Linked DNA regions of Yarrowia lipolytica. The protein of the gene in region 2 interacts with the protein of the main gene of each other region in a pairwise test. Links are inferred from orthologs where the notes say so. Each region holds a gene or a part of one and is shown on either strand. Other genes may lie near its edges.

Region 1 (3,167 bases), on a different chromosome or scaffold from region 2:
AAGCTTGCTCGATCTGGAGGAGAGAGTATCGCTCAGATCAAGCAGATTTGGGAGCGGCTCCGAATGAAGACTGGTGTCAAGCCTGCTGAGCGAAAGCAGCTGGTGGAGGATATCTGGGCCATTTCCAAGAACGATATCAAGAACTTGATTCTCAAGCACGACGCATCGCGAATTATCCAGACTCTGTTCAAGTACGCTGACAAGGAGAAGCGAGAGATCATCACAAAGGCGCTGAAGGGCAACTACTACGACCTGGCCATCTCGTCTTACGGAAAGTACCTGCTGGTCAAGATGCTGCATTACGGATCTGCTGCCGTTCGACAATCTATTATTGACGAGCTGCACGGCCGGTTCCGAAAGCTCATGCGTCATAAGGAGGGTGCCTATGTGCTGGAGGATGCCTACAGAGACTACAGCACTGCTGCTCAGAAGCGACAAATCATCCAAGAGTTTTTCGGTGCCGAGTTTGCCGTTTTCCGAGACGCTGCTGGCACAAAGACCCTTAAGGATATTATCGAGGACGCCCCCGAGAAGCGACCCATCATCATGCGAAACCTGAACGAAACTATCACTGCTGCTGTCAACAAGGGTTCCATTGGTTTCACCGTCATTCATGCTGCCATGCTTGAGTACGTCAGCAACCTTGACACCAACAACTCGGAGAAGACCGAATTCATCGATCTGATTGGCGAGCAGTTTGCAGAGATGGTGCATACTAACGAGGGATCGCAGGTGGCTTGCAAGACTCTGGCCATGGCTTCTGCCAAGGAGAAGAAGGGTCTTCTCAAGTCGCTCAAGAGCTTTGCCGACACCCTGGCTGCTGATCAGTACGGACACATGGTCATGATGACTGCTTTTGACACCATTGACGATACCAAGAGTGTTGTTAAGGCCTTTTCTGGTGAGCTCTCCGAGAAGCCCGTGCATGAGCTGTTCATGGACAAGAACGGTCGACGACCCTTCCTGTATGCCATGCTAGGCCGAGACTCTCGATACTTCAACAAGCTGGTTCTGGATCAGCTCAAGCAGTACGATGAGATGAAGACCGCAACTGGTACTGCCAAGAAGGATGATGCTCTTCGACTGGAGGAGATCAACAAGGGAATGTCCCCTCTGATTCTCGAGGCCATTGCCAACAACGCTTACGAGCTCATGAACGACACCCTGGGTTCTCAGTTCATTTCTGAGGCTCTTCTGTCGTGTGACGGTGACAAGTCTGAGGCTATCGCTGCTCTTATGGAGGTTCTGTCTGCCGATCCCGCCGGTGACAACCACGTCATCAAGCAGCCCAACGCTCAGCGAGCTCTGCGAACCCTCATTCAACAGGGACATTGGAACAACAAGGAGAAGAAGGTAGTCAAGGTCGAGACTCCCATCGACTTCGGTGCCAAGTTCTACGATGCAATTGGGGATCACGTTGTCGCATGGGCCACTGGAGACGGTGCTTTTGTCATTGTGACTCTGTTGGAGAACCTGGAGGACGATAAGCTGAAGAAGGAGCTCAAAAAGACTCTCAAGGACAGTAAGAAGGAGATTGCTGCTGCTGCCGAGGATGGAAACAAGGGTTCCAAGCTCATTGTTGACCTGCTTTAAGCGAAAACACGTTGTATAAAGATATATTTGGTAATAGAGGTATGATAGGATAAGTTGAGGATACTGTTTTACTACAAGTAAAGAGTTGTTTGCCACTCGCGTACAAGTGCATACGATAGAGAGGGATGCTTTGATATATACATATATATTTTTTTTGGAAAGATCAATCCATAGATCAGAAATGTTGAGAATTTCCAAATGAAATAGAAGGAGATCGAAAAGGAAGTATTAACAAGTTACCAAGGTATGGCATATTTAATAGTTGGAAAATAAATAAATAAAAATAACTAAAAAAAATAAAAAATCAAACCAAAAACCAACACAAACAATACTACAAGTAGTCTCGGTGGTAGTCACACCAAATACCCATCTAAGCATTTTCCTTGATACTCGCTTCTATGCATGGCAAAACTCTATATCAAAAAAATCCCAAATTATTCTTCACGGTGCAGGGAAAGATATCACCACTTCTTCACAACACCTTTGACAAAATGGTACGACAGTTCAAGCACCACGAGGGCAAGCTGCTCAAGAAGGTCGACTTTGTCAACTGGAAGACAGATAATGGCCACCGTGAACAGCAGGTGATGGGCACCTTCCATCTGCAGGACCGAGACGACTACAACAAGTACAACAAAATCTGCGGTAAGATCCGACAATTAGCATACAAGCTATCTCAGCTCCAACCGGACGACCCTGTTCGAATCAAGCACGAAAAGCTGCTTCTCGACAAACTCTACCAGATGGGCATTCTTTCCACTAACACCACCGTTTCGCATCTGGAGACCAAGATATCTGTGTCTGCTATCGCCAAGCGACGACTCCCCGTCATCATGCACAAACTCAAGATGACCCAAAAACTGGACGCTGGAACTGCCATGATCGAGCAGGGTCACGTGAGAGTGGGTCCTCACATTGTCACCGACCCTGCGTTTCTGGTGACCCGAAACATGGAGGACTTTGTCACCTGGACCGACCGATCCAAGATCAAGAAGGCCACTCTCAAGTACCGAAACGAGCTCGACGACTTCAACACTATGTAAGTTTTTATTTATGCATGCTACTATTAGACGGAATGAGAAGGCGTGTAGAGAACTTGGAGAAGTAGGGGATAGTCCGCTTTTTTATTATTGTCAAGTCGATAAGAACACTATCAGGTGAAACGAAGACATTCATTGCTATATGTTCAACTAAATGACTTCAGATTTTGAGCGTCGTCTCCTTAATCACTGTGCTCTTGTCTGATCTCTCGGTTGTTGGTATTGTCTGGGCGAGTATGTCAGTTACGATACAAGTACTACCGTTGTAGATTCATATTTACAAGAAAGCCTACAAAAGATACACGCCGCTGGTACTTGAAGTCGTACTACTATACGATATGGTAGAAGCACAAGACTCTGCATCTCCTTGGTTCTGTCTCTCAGATTACAAGTGAGGCACTGGACCTATAGGCTAGCATTGTAGCCACAACCAAACCACTTAAATCGAAGTGATGACAATCAAGTGATCACTTTATACCACTAACTACTGTCGGGTCCCTGTGGTGACTCTATTATACCGTATGCTAATTATTT
Region 2 (4,573 bases):
AACCGGCTCGGCCGCTACTCTAGATCACCATGCCAAAAGATGTTGACATAGAGCCAACACCACAGTATCAATTAGTACGTTTCGTGGATGCAACTGTCGTCACATCGACCACACGTAGACTATCCTGTATGTAGCACACATTGTCCTAACCAGCCCATTTATCCCATTATCCCATTATCCAACCGTTTGGTGTCGCCACCTCATTGTCCCCCTCCCCCACCCTATGCGTTGTTGTTGAGCTTGCTTCTGGCGGCAGCAAACATTTCCTCCTGCTTTCTCAACAGCTCCTCCTCGGTCATGCCCGACTGCTCCAGCTTTCCAACCTTCTTCTCCCGCGACTTGAGCGCCTCCTTGTGCTCCACAATCAGGTCCTTGATGGGCTCAATGTAGTCTATGAATCCCAGCTCCTGCAGAGCCTTGATGACATGTTCCGGCGCAATCGTCTTCTTGCTCTCCTTCTCGGCAATCTCGTTGCTTTCGGTGCTCAGCATCATGATGAACTCGATGCAGCACTCGATCAACACGTCGCGGGTGTCCTTGGCAAACGCCAGGTCTGACGGAATGATTTCGCTCACTATCTTCTGCACCGTGGCTGGGTTAATAACCGACCCACAACTTTCAACCCCCCACAAACAGAAACACAAACACAAACACAACCCCCCCTCCGGCTCTACTCACCCTTGGGCAACGAAAGGTCGTCATTCCCTGAAGTTTCTCTGTCGCTCATTTCACTGCGTGTATGTTGTGGTAAACGTGTGGTTGTGCCGTGGTGGACTCGTCGCTCTTACGCGCCTTGTATGCTTTATGCATGTTTATATATTTTTCGAGCTCCCAAAGATAGAGTTCAAGAGTCGTAAACAGTGATAGCCACCCTACAGGAAAGTGCAAGTCGCACTGGGAGAACGGCGCCACCGATCCAGCCAGGTCACGTGATCCTACATACCCCCCCCAGAGCCACGCCCCAAGAATTGTATTTCCCACTCTTAATCTGTTGATTTTGGTGCCTTTGGGCAACCAACCCTGTTCCCTCAAAACACGTACAAGTTTGTCAGTCAATTCATTCTCATCCATCATCCAACTACTACCCCGTTTAAGGTTCCAGAATGAGCTTAAAATGCGGGAACTCAAAGAGAAACCTTTTTTTTTTGGGCCCGTCACGTGATGGCAAACACTCGATGAGACGTAGCACAGACTCAATGAGACGTAGCTCAGACTCAATGAGACGTCGCAGAGCAATTTTGTGGGGGCGGGGAGGGAGGGGGGAGACCAAGGAGGGAACAGCCGGCTGTTGGCGACAAGAACCGACTTTGGGTTGTTCTGTTGCACTCCGAACCACAACATTGGTGACAATGAACAAGCTCAGTTTAGACCATCGGGGTTACATAGCTGTTAAAACGCCAACAAATACTTGCAAGGGGTCCAGTTTTTCGGCTAGTGAGTAAACCGGGGGTGTTTATCACGACTATCGGACCGGTTTGGTCCAAAGTGTGGTATTTCGTTGAGCATTTGGAGACAAACAGATTATGTGTTGTCGGTGACTAACCCTAGTGCATGAGTCAATCTGGTATTGGTGGGATCGTTATGGGCGTGTAGCTACTGTACAGCTCCTGTACAATGGTGTACTATGGTTGAGTTGGTTTGTTGCGACCGTCTCGTCTTGGAGGATTTACACGACAACTAAATGTTTCCCATTCCGGGCACAGGTCAAAATCGAACCAACGCCGCCTGCCAACTCCTCTACCGTTCGACAGCGCGCCAGTTCGATTCCCCGTTGTGATGCTAAAGTAACCTCGTTTACGGTGGATCATCGAGAATGACATATAGTGGCAAATACGAGGAGATATTTTGTGTCGAGCACGTTTCGGGTCGACACCGAAGAGTCGGAACCCCCCAAAACTCCCCGTTTCCACGCTTCCCCGCAACTCCAACGCTCTCTGCTCTGTTCTTCTACCACACCAGATGTACTTGTTACAATACAAGTCTCGGTCAATTTTCATGCAGAAAAAAAATTCAGAGTTTAAATTATTTTTTCCTGCACTTGGACAACCATCAGGCAAGCCAGATAATTCCACCACAACTCACACACATCATGTCGGAACAGCTGTCTCGATTCGATCCCGCTCTCACGCAGTACGCCAGCGTCACAAGTGCGCTTAACCAGCACAAGATCCGTGTCCAGGCGGTCTCAGGCGCCAATGCCAGTCTCCAGCCCGTGGAGTTTGTGTTGGAGAAGGGCACCACTGTGACTGCTCTCAAGTGGACCAAGAACGTTGGCGAGGGCGCCTCGTCGTCTTCTCGACGCAAGAAGACCAAGACCCAGGACTCGGCGGCTGCTTCTTCCGAGGAATATCTAGTTTCTGTGGGAACCAACCGGGGCGACATTCTCACTTTTTCTCCCGCCCAGGCCAAGCTTGTGTCTGCTCTCCGAGGCGGCCATTCTCTGCCTGTGGCCGACTTTGACGTCGACGCCAACTCCGGCACCACCTACTCGCTTGACAACCGAGGTCTTTTGAACGTGTGGAAGGGCTCTTCTGTGGAACGATCTGTGGACAAGACCGGCGCCAAGCTGGTGGCCGTTCTGCCCTCGGGTAACGTGCTGCTGGCCACCCACAACATCGCCGTCTACGGCCCCCAGGGCGATGACTCGTCGGCCGTCTCGTTTGACTCGGCTCTGTTTGATATCCCCTCGCACACCTCTACTGTCACCGAGCTGTGTGTTCGAGGTGACCTTGTTGCTGCCGTTGCTGGCGACCGTCTCATCAACGTGGTTAACGTGGCTCAGAAGAAAATTGTGCTGGTGCTCATGGCCGAGTCGGGTGCCCACCGTGTCTCCATGAACGGCGACATTCTCACCGCCCTGACAGAGGGAGGAGCCGCCGAGTTCTTCCAGCTCGCCCAGACTAACGGATCCACCCCCAACAGCAAGAAGGGAAAGCGCAAGAGCATTGTCACCAAGTCCTCGTTTGCATCGCTGGACCTGGAGCGGGGCACTAAGGCTGCCGGCCAGAACCTCGTCATCGACGCCATCGCGCTCACCGCCAAGGAGGCCTACTACTCGTACACCGAGCGGGCCCAGGCCCAGTTTGCACACGTGACTCTGGCTGCTCTGGAGACCGAGCCCACCATGACGGTGGTGCACGACCCCAAAAACGCCGCAAACCACTACACCGAGGAGCGAACTGTGCCCGTGTCCTACAACGAGGAGGACGCTATCATTGCTGCTGGAGACGACTATTCACAGCTGGAGAACGGTGTAGGAAGCGACGAGTCCGATGACGACGAGTCTGCCACTCTGGCCGAAAAGATGGACGCTCTCAAGCGAGAAAACAAGACCACCAAGAGCGGACTTTCCGGAACTGCTCCCCCGACCATGGGATCTCTATCCACTGTTCTTACCCAGGCCATCAAGTCCGACGACGACGATCTGCTCGAGTCGTGTCTCCTTTTCCGAGACGAGGAGGGCATCAAGTCTACCGTCCAGCGACTCAACAGTAATCTGGCCGTGCTACTTTTGGAGCGTTTGGCTGCCAAGATGACCGCCCAACCCTCTAGAGGCCGACAGTTCAACGCCTGGATCAAGTGGGTCATGGTGGCACATGGAGGATACCTGGTGACCGTGCCCAAGCTGCTGGTGACTGTGTCGCGACTTCACAAGGCTCTTAATACCCGAGTCAACACACTGGATCGTCTGCTGGCTCTGGAGGGCCGTCTGGAGATGCTTGAGGCCCAGATGGAACTGCGAAACGCCAGCCACGGCGCCAACGACGACGACGAGGAGTCCGACTCCGAGGTCGAGTTTGTCGAGGGCGAAGAGGACATTGACGAAGACGATGAGGAAGACGACATGTCCGAGATCATGGCCATGGGCGATGATGACGATGTCGAGATGGGTGAGGGGGACGAAGGTGAGGATGATGAGGACGAGGACGAGGACGAAGAAAGTGACGAAGAGGACGAGGACGAGAACGAGATTGCTCTGCCTGACTCGGACGAGGAGGAGATGAAGCAGGTGCTCAACAAGAAGCGAGGCAAGCAGTAAATAACTAGCATTATAGATTTGTATCATTGGTTTGGGAAAAGTAGGGGTCTAGAGAACACAATGTAGTACGCTCAAAAATGATCCGACGGAGTTGTAATTTTGACACAATGGATATGACAACATTGTTAGCGGTTTAATGCAATGATATTTCATGTTTGTCACACGAAATCGCCCCCAAAATCACCCCCAATATCATTCGTATAATCCGCTCCTCTTTCCCCCCCCCCCAAACTCTATTCGAAAATTATTATGCATGTGCATGTATGTGAGAAAAAACACTGGGTAGTTGAAATCTTTTCAAAGCCACCATGACGAAGCGGAAAAGTGCGTTGAGTGCGCTGAAGCCGACGAAAAAACAGGTCATCAGCTCGGAGGATTCGGATCCCGAAGTCGTTGTGGTCACCAACCCTCCTCTGGACTCTCCGGATGCAGAGGAGTCGTTCATCAGCATCACCGAAGAAGATGAGGCCGTCAGACAGCTCAGCACTTTTGATTTCAGTGCAAAGAACACCAAGGTGGTACGAGATGAGACTC
Region 3 (3,961 bases), about 1.7 Mb from region 2:
ACTGCGTCAAGCTCAACATTGAAGCCACCTGCGAATACGGCAGTAACTCTCGATGGGAGGAGAGCAAGGATAAGGAGGTCAAGTCGCCGGCCTTTATCACCCAAACAAGCCTTGACTTTCTCTCAAATGCCTCCTCTGTCTCGGAGATCATCCACCTGTTTGAAAAACACCTGCCGATCCAAACAGCGCCAAACAACAATCCCCTCAGCATCTTTTCCTACAAAACAGAAGAGTACGAGAGCGCCATTGCCAACGAGCCGCTCCCGAAGAACATAAGCGACATTCTGATCGAGAACTATAGGAATTTGGTGGACCCCTTCTTCCCCATTATTGACTGGAAGGAGTTCGAAGAACATTATGAAAACCTATACCCCGGGCAGGCTGGTCCTACACCGCCATCACCGCCACAACCACCGTCCTTCCTGGCTCTGATATACACAGTCTACGCCCTGAGTTGCAAGTCCTGCGCTTTCGACTCGCTGCTACATACCTTGCATGCTTCAGCCGTCATCCACTTTTCTGATCGCGCCGAGCAATACCTCAACAGAATACCCTTGTTAGTGACCTCGTCGATCGACGACTTCCGAGCAGCACTGCTCTACATTTACAGTTCATTCTCTGGCGACTGTCTTATGGTGGGATGGTCTCTGTGTGGTCTGTTGGTAACAATGAGCCAACGGATTCTGCCTCCCTTTACAGCCTCCAGCGACGTGAAGGAAGCTGCAAACCACCTCATTTCGGTTTCTGGCACTTTTTTCGACGCCTGCCAAGCATTTGTAGGCCACAAATCTGGGTTAGAATACCCCCAATTGCCTTTCAGCTCATACCCGTTTCTACACACTACCCAGAAGCTCTACATGTTCACCCGTGGACTGCAGAACAGCCATGATTCTTCAGATCCTGCTGAACTCCTGCGAATCGACCAGATAATCAATACTCTTCCCCAGGGAGATCCTATGGAGTTCATGAAGAAACTGGCACTGACAACACAATGGCACAAGGCCAATCTTTTGCTTTTCCGATGTGGCAAGATCGACCGACTCTCTGGACTCATGTCACTTCTGAAGCTACTGGAGAACCAATTCTATCTCTACTCTGCTCCTCCACAGATCCAACAATACATTCTGTTTCACTGGAACAACATTTACTACCATGTGTTCACGGGAGTGATTGTTTTGGCTCTAGAACTGGAGGCAACTGATCCTCTGCCTCCGCTGGATCCATCTGTATTCCCCAACCTCTCCAAGCTCAACCTGGAAGAGGACAAGAACTGGAAGTCCACTCTGTTGGCTGTCTTGCGTGATCAGTACTTTGATCTCAGAGTCAATTCTGAGTGTGCTAGTGCACGTGCTCACATGATAACTTCGGCATTTCTGGCCCAAGACACACATATGGAGTGTCCACGACCGTTTGGACCTTTCCATAAGATGCTGTGCCTGCCATCAGGATTTTACATCTGTCGGTTTGACCGGTCGTACTTTCAGTGTGGCTACGGAATGGAGCTGGACCGTCAGATTGGTCGTGCGTTATACGACTCCAAGGAGAGTTCCAAGGTGTTTCTATAGCTTCTTCCCAGAGATGAGAAGACATCTGTATTTATTGCATTTTTCAATGCCAGTGTCTGAACTGTAGTTCAAGTAAGTTACTAAGTAATACTAAGTAATACGCGAAGATAAACGCATGCAAAACCTACAACAAGCAGGCCATTAGCCATCACGAAAGATTATAAGAAGCTGTTTGCCTTTCAATATCAACCTCCCCCCAGTTAATCCCACTTAGTGACAACCCCTTTCACCATAACATAAAGCTACTTGTAGTTATGTTCGACAGTGGATATCTCCAAATCCACCTCCGCAAATAAAGTTCAAGGTGCATGCACAACAGAAAAAATTGGAAACCATCTGCAAGATTTCAATATCACCACCACCACACAAGCAAATCAACAATGTCCGCCCCCTTGAACCGGTTGACGATTGCTAAGGAGGTCAAAAAGGGCTCCGACTTGACGCCCGAGCAAAAATTCTGGAAAACCTACCGTTCGCCTCTGCTCGTCAAAGAGTACAATGCCATCTCTCACGTTTCCTTCAACCATCACAATGACTTTGCCGTCACCTCGTCTACTCGAATCCAGATCTTCTCTGGAAAGACCCGAAAAGTCACCAAGACTATCTCTCGTTTCAAGGATACTGTATACTGCGGCGAGTTCCGGTCTGATGGTAAGCTGATTGTGGCCGGTGATGCTACAGGTCTGGTTCAGATCTTCGATGCCGTGTCGAGAAACATTCTGGTGACTCTGCAGGCGTCCCAACTGGCCACTCATGTGACTAAGTTCCACCCCACAAACCTCACCACTCTCCTCACAGCCTCCGACGACCGAAGCGTCAAGCTCTACGATATCACCAGCTCCACTCCTCTGATCGAGTTTGAGGGCGCTCAGGATTACGTTCGATGTGGAGAGTTTGTCGATGCCAACGTTGTCGCTGCTGGTTCGTACGACGGAACTGTTCGACTCTACGACGCCCGATCCGGAAAGACCCCCATCTCTTCTCTGGCTCAGGATCACCCGGTTGAGGATGTCCTCTACCACAACGGAATGGTGTTGTCTGCCGGAGGTCCCATTGTCAAGGCCTGGGACATGACCACCGGAAAGACCATCCGACAAATGGGCAACTTCAGCAAGACCGTTACTTGCCTGGCCCCTACTCACGGTGCTTCTGGATTCTTCGCTGGCTCCCTAGACGGCCATGTCAAGGTCTTTGATGATACCTCATTCAAGGTTACCTACGGCTGGAAGTACGGCTCCGGAGTGCTCTGTACTGGTATGTCTCTAGACTCCCAGCATATTGTGGCCGGTCTGGTTTCCGGTATTGTCGCTGTTCGAACCCAGCAGCCCAAGAAGGACGAGAAGATCAGCAACGGACGGGTTCTGGACCAGAAGGCTGCTGTTGAGGAGGAGAAGAAGAAGAAGGCAGAGGGACCCGTGCTTGGAGGAACCAAGTACGAGGGTCAGTTTGAGCATGTCATTGTCGAGGAGCACGAGCGGCCCAACAAGAAGCTGCTGAAGCGATATGAAAACCTGCTTCTCGGATTCCGATGGGGTGATGCTCTCGATGCTGCACTGTCTGGAGAGCATCTGGAGACCTCTGTTCTGGCTCTGGAAGAGCTCAAGAAGCGAGGTAAGGTGCGAGCTGCACTGCTGAACCGAGATGAGGACTCTCTGGAGCCTCTCTTTGAGTTCGCTACCAAGGCCATTGCTGACTCGCGATACATCAACATTGTTGCTGACTACGTTGCAGTCGTGCTGGACATGTACACTAGTGTGATTACCAAGAGCCCGATACTCGAAGAGCGGGTGTCTGAGTTCTACGACGCTCTCAAGTCCGAGGTCGAGACTGCTAAGGAGAGCAAGAAGATCCAGGGTATGTTGGAGCTCCTCAGTGTTTAGAGAGAGCAAAAGGATGGATGCATTTGTTGAATAGATATTAGATAATGATTGGGAAAATGGTACTTGTAGTTATATCGCTGCTTGTAGACTAGTATGTAAGTAGTTGTACATGGCAGCTAGTCAAAAAACACTGTATATGTTATATCTCTAAATGCGTTCGTATGCTTATGTTAAATGCTAGGGCGATCACTTCTTAAACCTCGAGGCCCACTGCTTCTGTCCCATATTGACCTTGAATCCCGTGTTGAGTCTGTTGGTGGTGGAGAAGTTGTCGTTATCCACCTTGGCCTTCTTGTGCTGTTCAGACTCGACTCGCACAATAGCCTTTTTAGTGGTTCGCTTCTGCGTCTGATGCTTGCGTTTCTTGATACCACCTTCTTTGTAGATAGGAGCACTGAGAGCAGTCTCTCCTTCAAGAGCAGTTTCATGAACCCAATCTAAATCGTCCTGCACAGGTTCATCATAAGGATTATGGACCTCCACAGTTCCCATGATCTCGTCCAGCTCATCAGGTTC
Region 4 (5,914 bases), about 1.8 Mb from region 2:
TTTACTACATACTTCATCAGCTAGGACTCTAGACCGATTCCGCATCAAGAATTGGTAAGGGTATAGATTCATCTACAGCAGCTGATCCCATATGGCTATCAGATAAAATCGGTACCAGTCTATGTAAGGCTGCCCGTTAGAGCTGTTACAAGATGATGTTATGTTGAACTACATACACACTGGACGGTCTGTGAGTACAATGGAAGGTGCAAGTTCTCAATTACATTCTCCGAGTTTGAAATACAACATATTTCTTGTTTTCTGGTCCATATCGCTCGTGCAGACGCAAAGCAATGGTTCAACGGTTAGCCAGCTAATGCAGGCTGTCCACTGACGCACTCATACTTATTGTAAAGTATCAGTACGCTGGTATGCACTTGTGCAGTAGCTAGTGGGTGTGTACACTCTGCTAGTTCGGGTATGTTGGCCTGTAGTTCTTCCAAAGTCGGTTCAAATACGTACTGCGGTGTAATATATCACTCCATCTAGACTCCACCATCTTCTTCTAATCTAATCAATGCATCTATTATTAAATCCTCCACGAAGCCGCTATTTAACATCCACCTTATTAATCAAGTCTCCTCCGATTCGCTTGATCTCGCTAATAATACCCTCCTGGTCAAGAGTCACCTTGGAGCCATCGGGAACGGTGGCGTACTCCAAGTTGACACGGAACTTCCGGGGCTCCTTGGCCTCAGGGAGCCACATTCCGGCAATAACTCCAGAATCCATGGCCAGAACGTCCGAGAAGAAGAGACAGGCTCCAGCATAGGTGTTGGAGATTTCATCGTAGAACCGACGCGCCTCGTTGCAAGAGTTGGCAACCACTCCGTCGTCATTAGGGAAGGTTCCCTTGACAATGGCCTGCAGATTCTTATACTTCGAGGTCTTCTTGGGCACCTGGTCCTTTCGCAGCTTGATGGTAAAGTCGTAGGGAGCCAGAGAGGTGCTGAAGAGCGACTCAAACTGCCCGTCGGTATCGATTACCTGCTTGGCAGCCTTGGCCAGCGCTGTGAGACGACCAGAAAGCATGATTCCGGCCCCCTCGTGCTTGGGAGCAGACCACAGAGCTCCGTCCTCGACCTTGGTTCGGGTGGTGGCCACAAATAAAGGCACTCGAAGAGCAGGGTCCAGGTGACGATGTTTGGCGAAGGCAGCGGTCATCTGCGCATGCACAGCAGAGTCGGTGGTGGTTCCAGTCACGTCCGAAAGATTTTCCTGCACAGCCAGTTCTCGGGAAGGATCGGGATGCACCTCCACATCGAGCAGTAGAGGGTTCTCCTTCCAGTTCCAACGCGCCAGGAACGCAATGACTCGGTTGAAGGCACACGAGATGCTCTGAGGAGGCACGTAGGGTGCCGAAGACACGAAGGGCTGCAGAGCAATGAGCTCCCACAGCTCCTGGGGGAAGGCGGCAGTCATAAAGTGGGCGTCCAGCCAGGCCTTTACCAGTCGCACGGTGGCTCCGTACAGAGGATATCGGGTGGTCATGGTGGTTATGAGCCGGGTGTGGTTAGGGGCGTCATTGAACTGTCGGAAGGCGAGGTGTCGAAGAGCAGCGTTGGCGTTATCTTTGACGAAATGTTTGACCAGCAGTTCGTCAGTCTCGGTGATAATGTGCAGTCTGAATCCGAATCCCTCCGGCGTCAGAACAAGAGCAAACGCTTGCTTGTCGTTGAAACCAACAATGACTCGATATCCCTGGTCTGCCAGCTTCTTTCGCATATCCAGCAAAAAGGCCAGCTTGGTCTTCTCCATAGCCTCAATCTCTTCGGGCCATCGAGACGAGCTCTCAAACTGGACAATTGCGTCGCAGAAAAAGTCGCCGTTGAGCTCGAAGGGCAGAGCAGGCGACACATCGGTCGACCGAAGAGCCGAAGAGGCGGGAAGAATGTTCTTGACCACCAGAGGCAGCTCGATTCGATTGACGGCAGCAGTGAGATTGACAAGAGCCTCGGAGATGAGCTTGGAATGGGCGTCGGTCACCTCCGTGATCATGGTCTGGTAGTTGTCGGAAGACAGGTACAGATCAGCCAGACACGAGGGAGACACATGGTTCTCCAGCACAAACCGAATGATCTGAGAAGTCACGAGTCCTCGACCGTTCCACACGGTGGTCTCCTTAATAGAGCCGTCAGCGAACCGTCGAAGCTCGGCCTTGTCGCCCCAGAAATCTCGGAAAGCTTCACAGGCCTCGGCATCGTCGTTGGCGGGTCCATGAGTGACAGTTCTGTTGCAGTCGGCAGTGAAAAGCAATCCCACAGACACCTCGCCAGTGGTGGAGGTCTCGAACTTGGCATCAATGTCCCAGGCTTGGCCAGTCTCCATGGAGACAGACACACAGGCGACTCGGTCATCCAGACCCTGTTTCAGAACAGCGTAGACATTGTTGGCGAAGAAGTTGCCAAATGACGAGAACTGCACTTTTTTGGATCCAGTGAAAGGATGGCCCTCAATCTCAGTCACGGGGACACGCACAACCTCGTCGAAATACAGCTTGGGCTCGGCAATGTATCGCAGGAACAGGAGTCCAAATCGGTCCACCGTAGTGTCGCTCAGGAGATCAAAGGAAACTCGAGACTCGTGCTTGATGAGATCATATGCCCAGGGCTGGACCTTGGCGATGATGTTCAGACCAGTATCAGAGTCCAGAACACAGGGCAGTCTGGTATCATTGTCTTCAAAGTGAGCGTCGTTGCTGAGCTCAAGGGCTGAAGAGTAAGTCCAGGTCTGCCGGGTCAGATCCTCAATGGCCAGGAACCGTACCACTCCCTTAAACAGCTGGTATGATGAGTATCCGGCATGCAGCTGCTGCTTGGATCTCAGCAGAGCAGCCATGAGCATTCCAAACTCCATGGCTCCAAAACCTCCCTGGCCCACAGCTCCAGAGAAGCCTCTCTGCCTGAGCCACAGGCTTCCCAGACGCCAGGCAGCCACAAAGGCAGGCACGATCTTGGCGGTCTTCTTCAGGAAGCCGAGGTATCGGGTTGTGGTCATGTCTGCAAGGATAGCAGAGTTGTAAAGGGGGGTGGGGGGTTCTTCTCCGTCCTTGGATCGCAGACAATTTCGGCCAGGGGCCAGTTTCTTGGTGTCAAAGACATCCTCTTCGATGACGGGAAGAATTCGAATGTAGAAGGGCGACTTAGGGCCGAAATCGGTATCGCTTTTGTTGATTCCTCGAAGCACAACCACAGGCCGAATATCGTCATCCAGAGTCTCGTAAGACACGCTGCAGTCGAGCTCCTTTTTCAGAGCAGCAGCCAGAACAGTCAGATAAAAGGCCCTTTTGTGAAGGTACCGGTTGTTGAGGAAGTCCTTTTCCTGAAACAATTCTCGAGGCATAGTGACGGAAACATCCACAGCCACACGCTCCTTTCCAGGCAGTCGGTTGACACTACCCAGAGCAAAAGATCCCACCACATTCACATCTGAAGGCTTGGCAAAAGCAAATTTGTACTGAGTCTTGTCACTGGGTCGGTTCCAGGGGATCTCCACCTGCTGGGAAGAAGCCCACTTGCTAGCTCTGGACACATCGAAGGGACCAGCCTTGGGGATCTCGGCGATGATCGAATGGACCCGATGGAGCATTTTGCCAATTCGCTTGGTGTGTTTCTCATCCACGTCCAGCTCCTTTAGCAGCTCGTCAATCTGCATCTTGAAGATGTTACTCTTGAAGAGTTCAGCAGCCTCCTTTGCAGCCTTGATTTCCGCTGCAGAAAGCTGCAATTTGGCCTTCTTTTTCGACACTCGGCCTGGTTTCTCCTCGTGTTCATTGTCCGAGATCTCCTCCTCCTTGTCCGAGAACTTGTCTTCGTCTGAGTCGTCATCAGCCCCGGAATCGTCTTCGGAATCGTCCTCTGAGTCGTCGTCTTCGCTCTCCAGGTCGGCGAGAGAGGTGATTTCGGGCTTGGCCTCGGATTTCACCTTTTTACTCTGGCTCTCATGCTGAGAAGCCTTGGATAGAGGTCGCTTGACTCCCATGATTGTGTTGTGTAGTATGCGTTTGAAAATAATCCATATCATGCATGAAATAATTTTTATAAGGTTCGGGTTAGGGAGTAAGCCCAAGACTTGAAACGTGACGGGCTGAGATTGATCTTGCAATGGAGAGGCAACGAAGCGACGAGACGGAATTTCTTTGGGGCTCTTGGTGTGCTTAGTCAGTATACTGGTCTCATTTTCTCACTTTTCATACACACACACACACACACACACACACACACACACACAAGAAAAGACACTGACACGTCTCGAACTGGGGATGTCCCCATACAGAGTTTAAACAATTCTTTCCACTAAATAGTTCCATACTTAGTCCACACAGTTGAAGACATGGAACTCTATTTGTGGGTCCCCTCATATCACTCAAGGAGACATTTAGGAGACAGTTAAAAGTGTTCCATACAAGTAATAGCTATCAATGTATATATTTGTCTCTGTTTTATCCCGTCTGTATTTCCCCCTCTTCACCCCACCTCTTGTTACTACAACCACCATCGTTTGCCACCCCAGTTTAACTTCAGCCCACATCACATCAATCAACCCACATAGAGTCAAGACATGACACCAAAACCTCCTCCAACAAAACACAACTCAGCACAACACACCACCACAACCATGAAGCTACATACAGTCACGTCTCTGGGGGAGTTTGACAAGGTGCTCAAGTCCGAGCTAGTCATTGTCGATTTCTTCGCAGAATGGTGCGGACCCTGCAAGGTGATTTCACCCTTTGTCGAGACCCTCCAGTCCGACTACAACCAGGTGCTATTTGCAAAGGTCGACGTGGATCAGGGCAAGGACATTGCTGCCAAGTACACCGTGTCTTCCATGCCCACTTTTGTGTACTTCCACAAGGGCAAGGAGGTCAATCGGGTCGTTGGAGCTGACAGAGCCGGAATTACTACTGGTCTGGATCAGTTGGTTTCCCTGAACCCTGCAGCCGTCAAGTCCCTTCCTGGAGCAGGAGGCGCCGACTCTGAGGATGCTGGCTCCACTGTCAACTCGACTGACAACTCTGCCATCGCAGCTTTTGTGCCCAAGAACATGGAGATTCTCAACTCTGGTATTGACTTCACCTCGACCGAGGCTCTCAACATTGCAAACAACGGCGACGTGCGAAACGTGCTGACCAACGGGCTGTCGGGCGATCAGGAGTTTGTCTCCGATACAGACTCGCAGATGCTGCTCAACGTGCAGCTGCAGAACAACGCCAAGATCCAGACGATTCTGCTCAAGAAGCCCGCCGTCAGTGGTGACAACCAGATCCCCTCGCATATCAAGGTGTGGGCCAACCATCCCAACCTGTCGTTCGACGACACCCAGTCGATCGAGGCCCAGCATGTCGGAGATGTGGTTTTTGATGGTGAGTGGGCCGAGATCAAGCTCAGATACGTGCGGTTCCAGAACGTGTCGACCATCTCCATGCTCATTGAGGGAGAGGACGAGGACGAGTGCACTAATTTGGATAGAGTGGTGCTCATTGGATCAAGCGGCGAGGCTCGAAGCGGAAAGCTCGAGAAGATGCAGGATTAGGCGGCATGGTGAATGGGTTTGAACCAGTTAATGTATATCGAGTATGTGCGACCCAAGCACATTGGTTAATGACATCGTAGATGTATCGTAGATGATTGTATGGTGTTGGTGTAGCTAGTATATACTATAGATGTTGAAACTGTACAGAGCCATGAGACAGTTATGACATATCGAAGCATGTCTGGAAAGCAAAGTAGAGAACTATTAACGAGTAGCTGAATCTCAATTGAATCATCGACTGGTAGCATTATACAATACAAGTACCAACTACTTAGACTGAAATCTTTAATCATCTCACTCTCTCCTCTAATAAATACTATATACAATATTCTGTTGTCCTTTGACAAGTTTTCACCCCTCTACTCCCAAGTAAACCTCT

The links.
Region 1: the proteins of YALI1_E19483g (region 2) and YALI1_F23133g interact in binary tests that used the Saccharomyces cerevisiae proteins (3 or more experiments, as listed by UniProt). The link is inferred for Yarrowia lipolytica from reciprocal best matches to the Saccharomyces cerevisiae genes UTP5 and IMP3.
Region 3: the proteins of YALI1_E19483g (region 2) and YALI1_E02203g interact in binary tests that used the Saccharomyces cerevisiae proteins (3 or more experiments, as listed by UniProt). The link is inferred for Yarrowia lipolytica from reciprocal best matches to the Saccharomyces cerevisiae genes UTP5 and UTP15.
Region 4: the proteins of YALI1_E19483g (region 2) and YALI1_E37387g interact in binary tests that used the Saccharomyces cerevisiae proteins (3 or more experiments, as listed by UniProt). The link is inferred for Yarrowia lipolytica from reciprocal best matches to the Saccharomyces cerevisiae genes UTP5 and UTP22.

What each region holds. Positions count from the first base shown.
Region 1 is NC_090775.1:2,311,350-2,314,516, forward strand, and holds YALI1_F23133g (uncharacterized protein), read left to right. Parts: upstream 1-1,991; coding exon 1,992-2,636; downstream 2,637-3,167. Other genes in the region: YALI1_F23109g (uncharacterized protein), read left to right, coding at 1-1,593. UniProt on the Saccharomyces cerevisiae protein: Required for the early cleavages at sites A0, A1 and A2 during 18S ribosomal pre-RNA processing.
Region 2 is NC_090774.1:1,945,578-1,950,150, reverse strand, and holds YALI1_E19483g (uncharacterized protein), read left to right. Parts: upstream 1-1,813; coding exon 1,814-4,039; downstream 4,040-4,573. Other genes in the region: YALI1_E19494g (uncharacterized protein), read right to left, coding at 222-592, 679-727; YALI1_E19488g (uncharacterized protein), read right to left, coding at 724-1,341; YALI1_E19458g (uncharacterized protein), read left to right, coding at 4,348-4,573. UniProt on the Saccharomyces cerevisiae protein: Involved in nucleolar processing of pre-18S ribosomal RNA. Required for optimal pre-ribosomal RNA transcription by RNA polymerase I together with a subset of U3 proteins required for transcription (t-UTPs).
Region 3 is NC_090774.1:218,486-222,446, forward strand, and holds YALI1_E02203g (uncharacterized protein), read left to right. Parts: upstream 1-1,873; coding exon 1,874-3,445; downstream 3,446-3,961. Other genes in the region: YALI1_E02183g (uncharacterized protein), read left to right, coding at 1-1,565; YALI1_E02231g (uncharacterized protein), read right to left, coding at 3,632-3,961. UniProt on the Saccharomyces cerevisiae protein: Involved in nucleolar processing of pre-18S ribosomal RNA. Required for optimal pre-ribosomal RNA transcription by RNA polymerase I together with a subset of U3 proteins required for transcription (t-UTPs).
Region 4 is NC_090774.1:3,734,669-3,740,582, forward strand, and holds YALI1_E37387g (uncharacterized protein), read right to left. Parts: upstream 4,024-5,914; coding exon 550-4,023; downstream 1-549. Other genes in the region: YALI1_E37392g (uncharacterized protein), read left to right, coding at 4,561-5,535; YALI1_E37419g (uncharacterized protein), read right to left, coding at 5,895-5,914. UniProt on the Saccharomyces cerevisiae protein: Involved in nucleolar processing of pre-18S ribosomal RNA and ribosome assembly.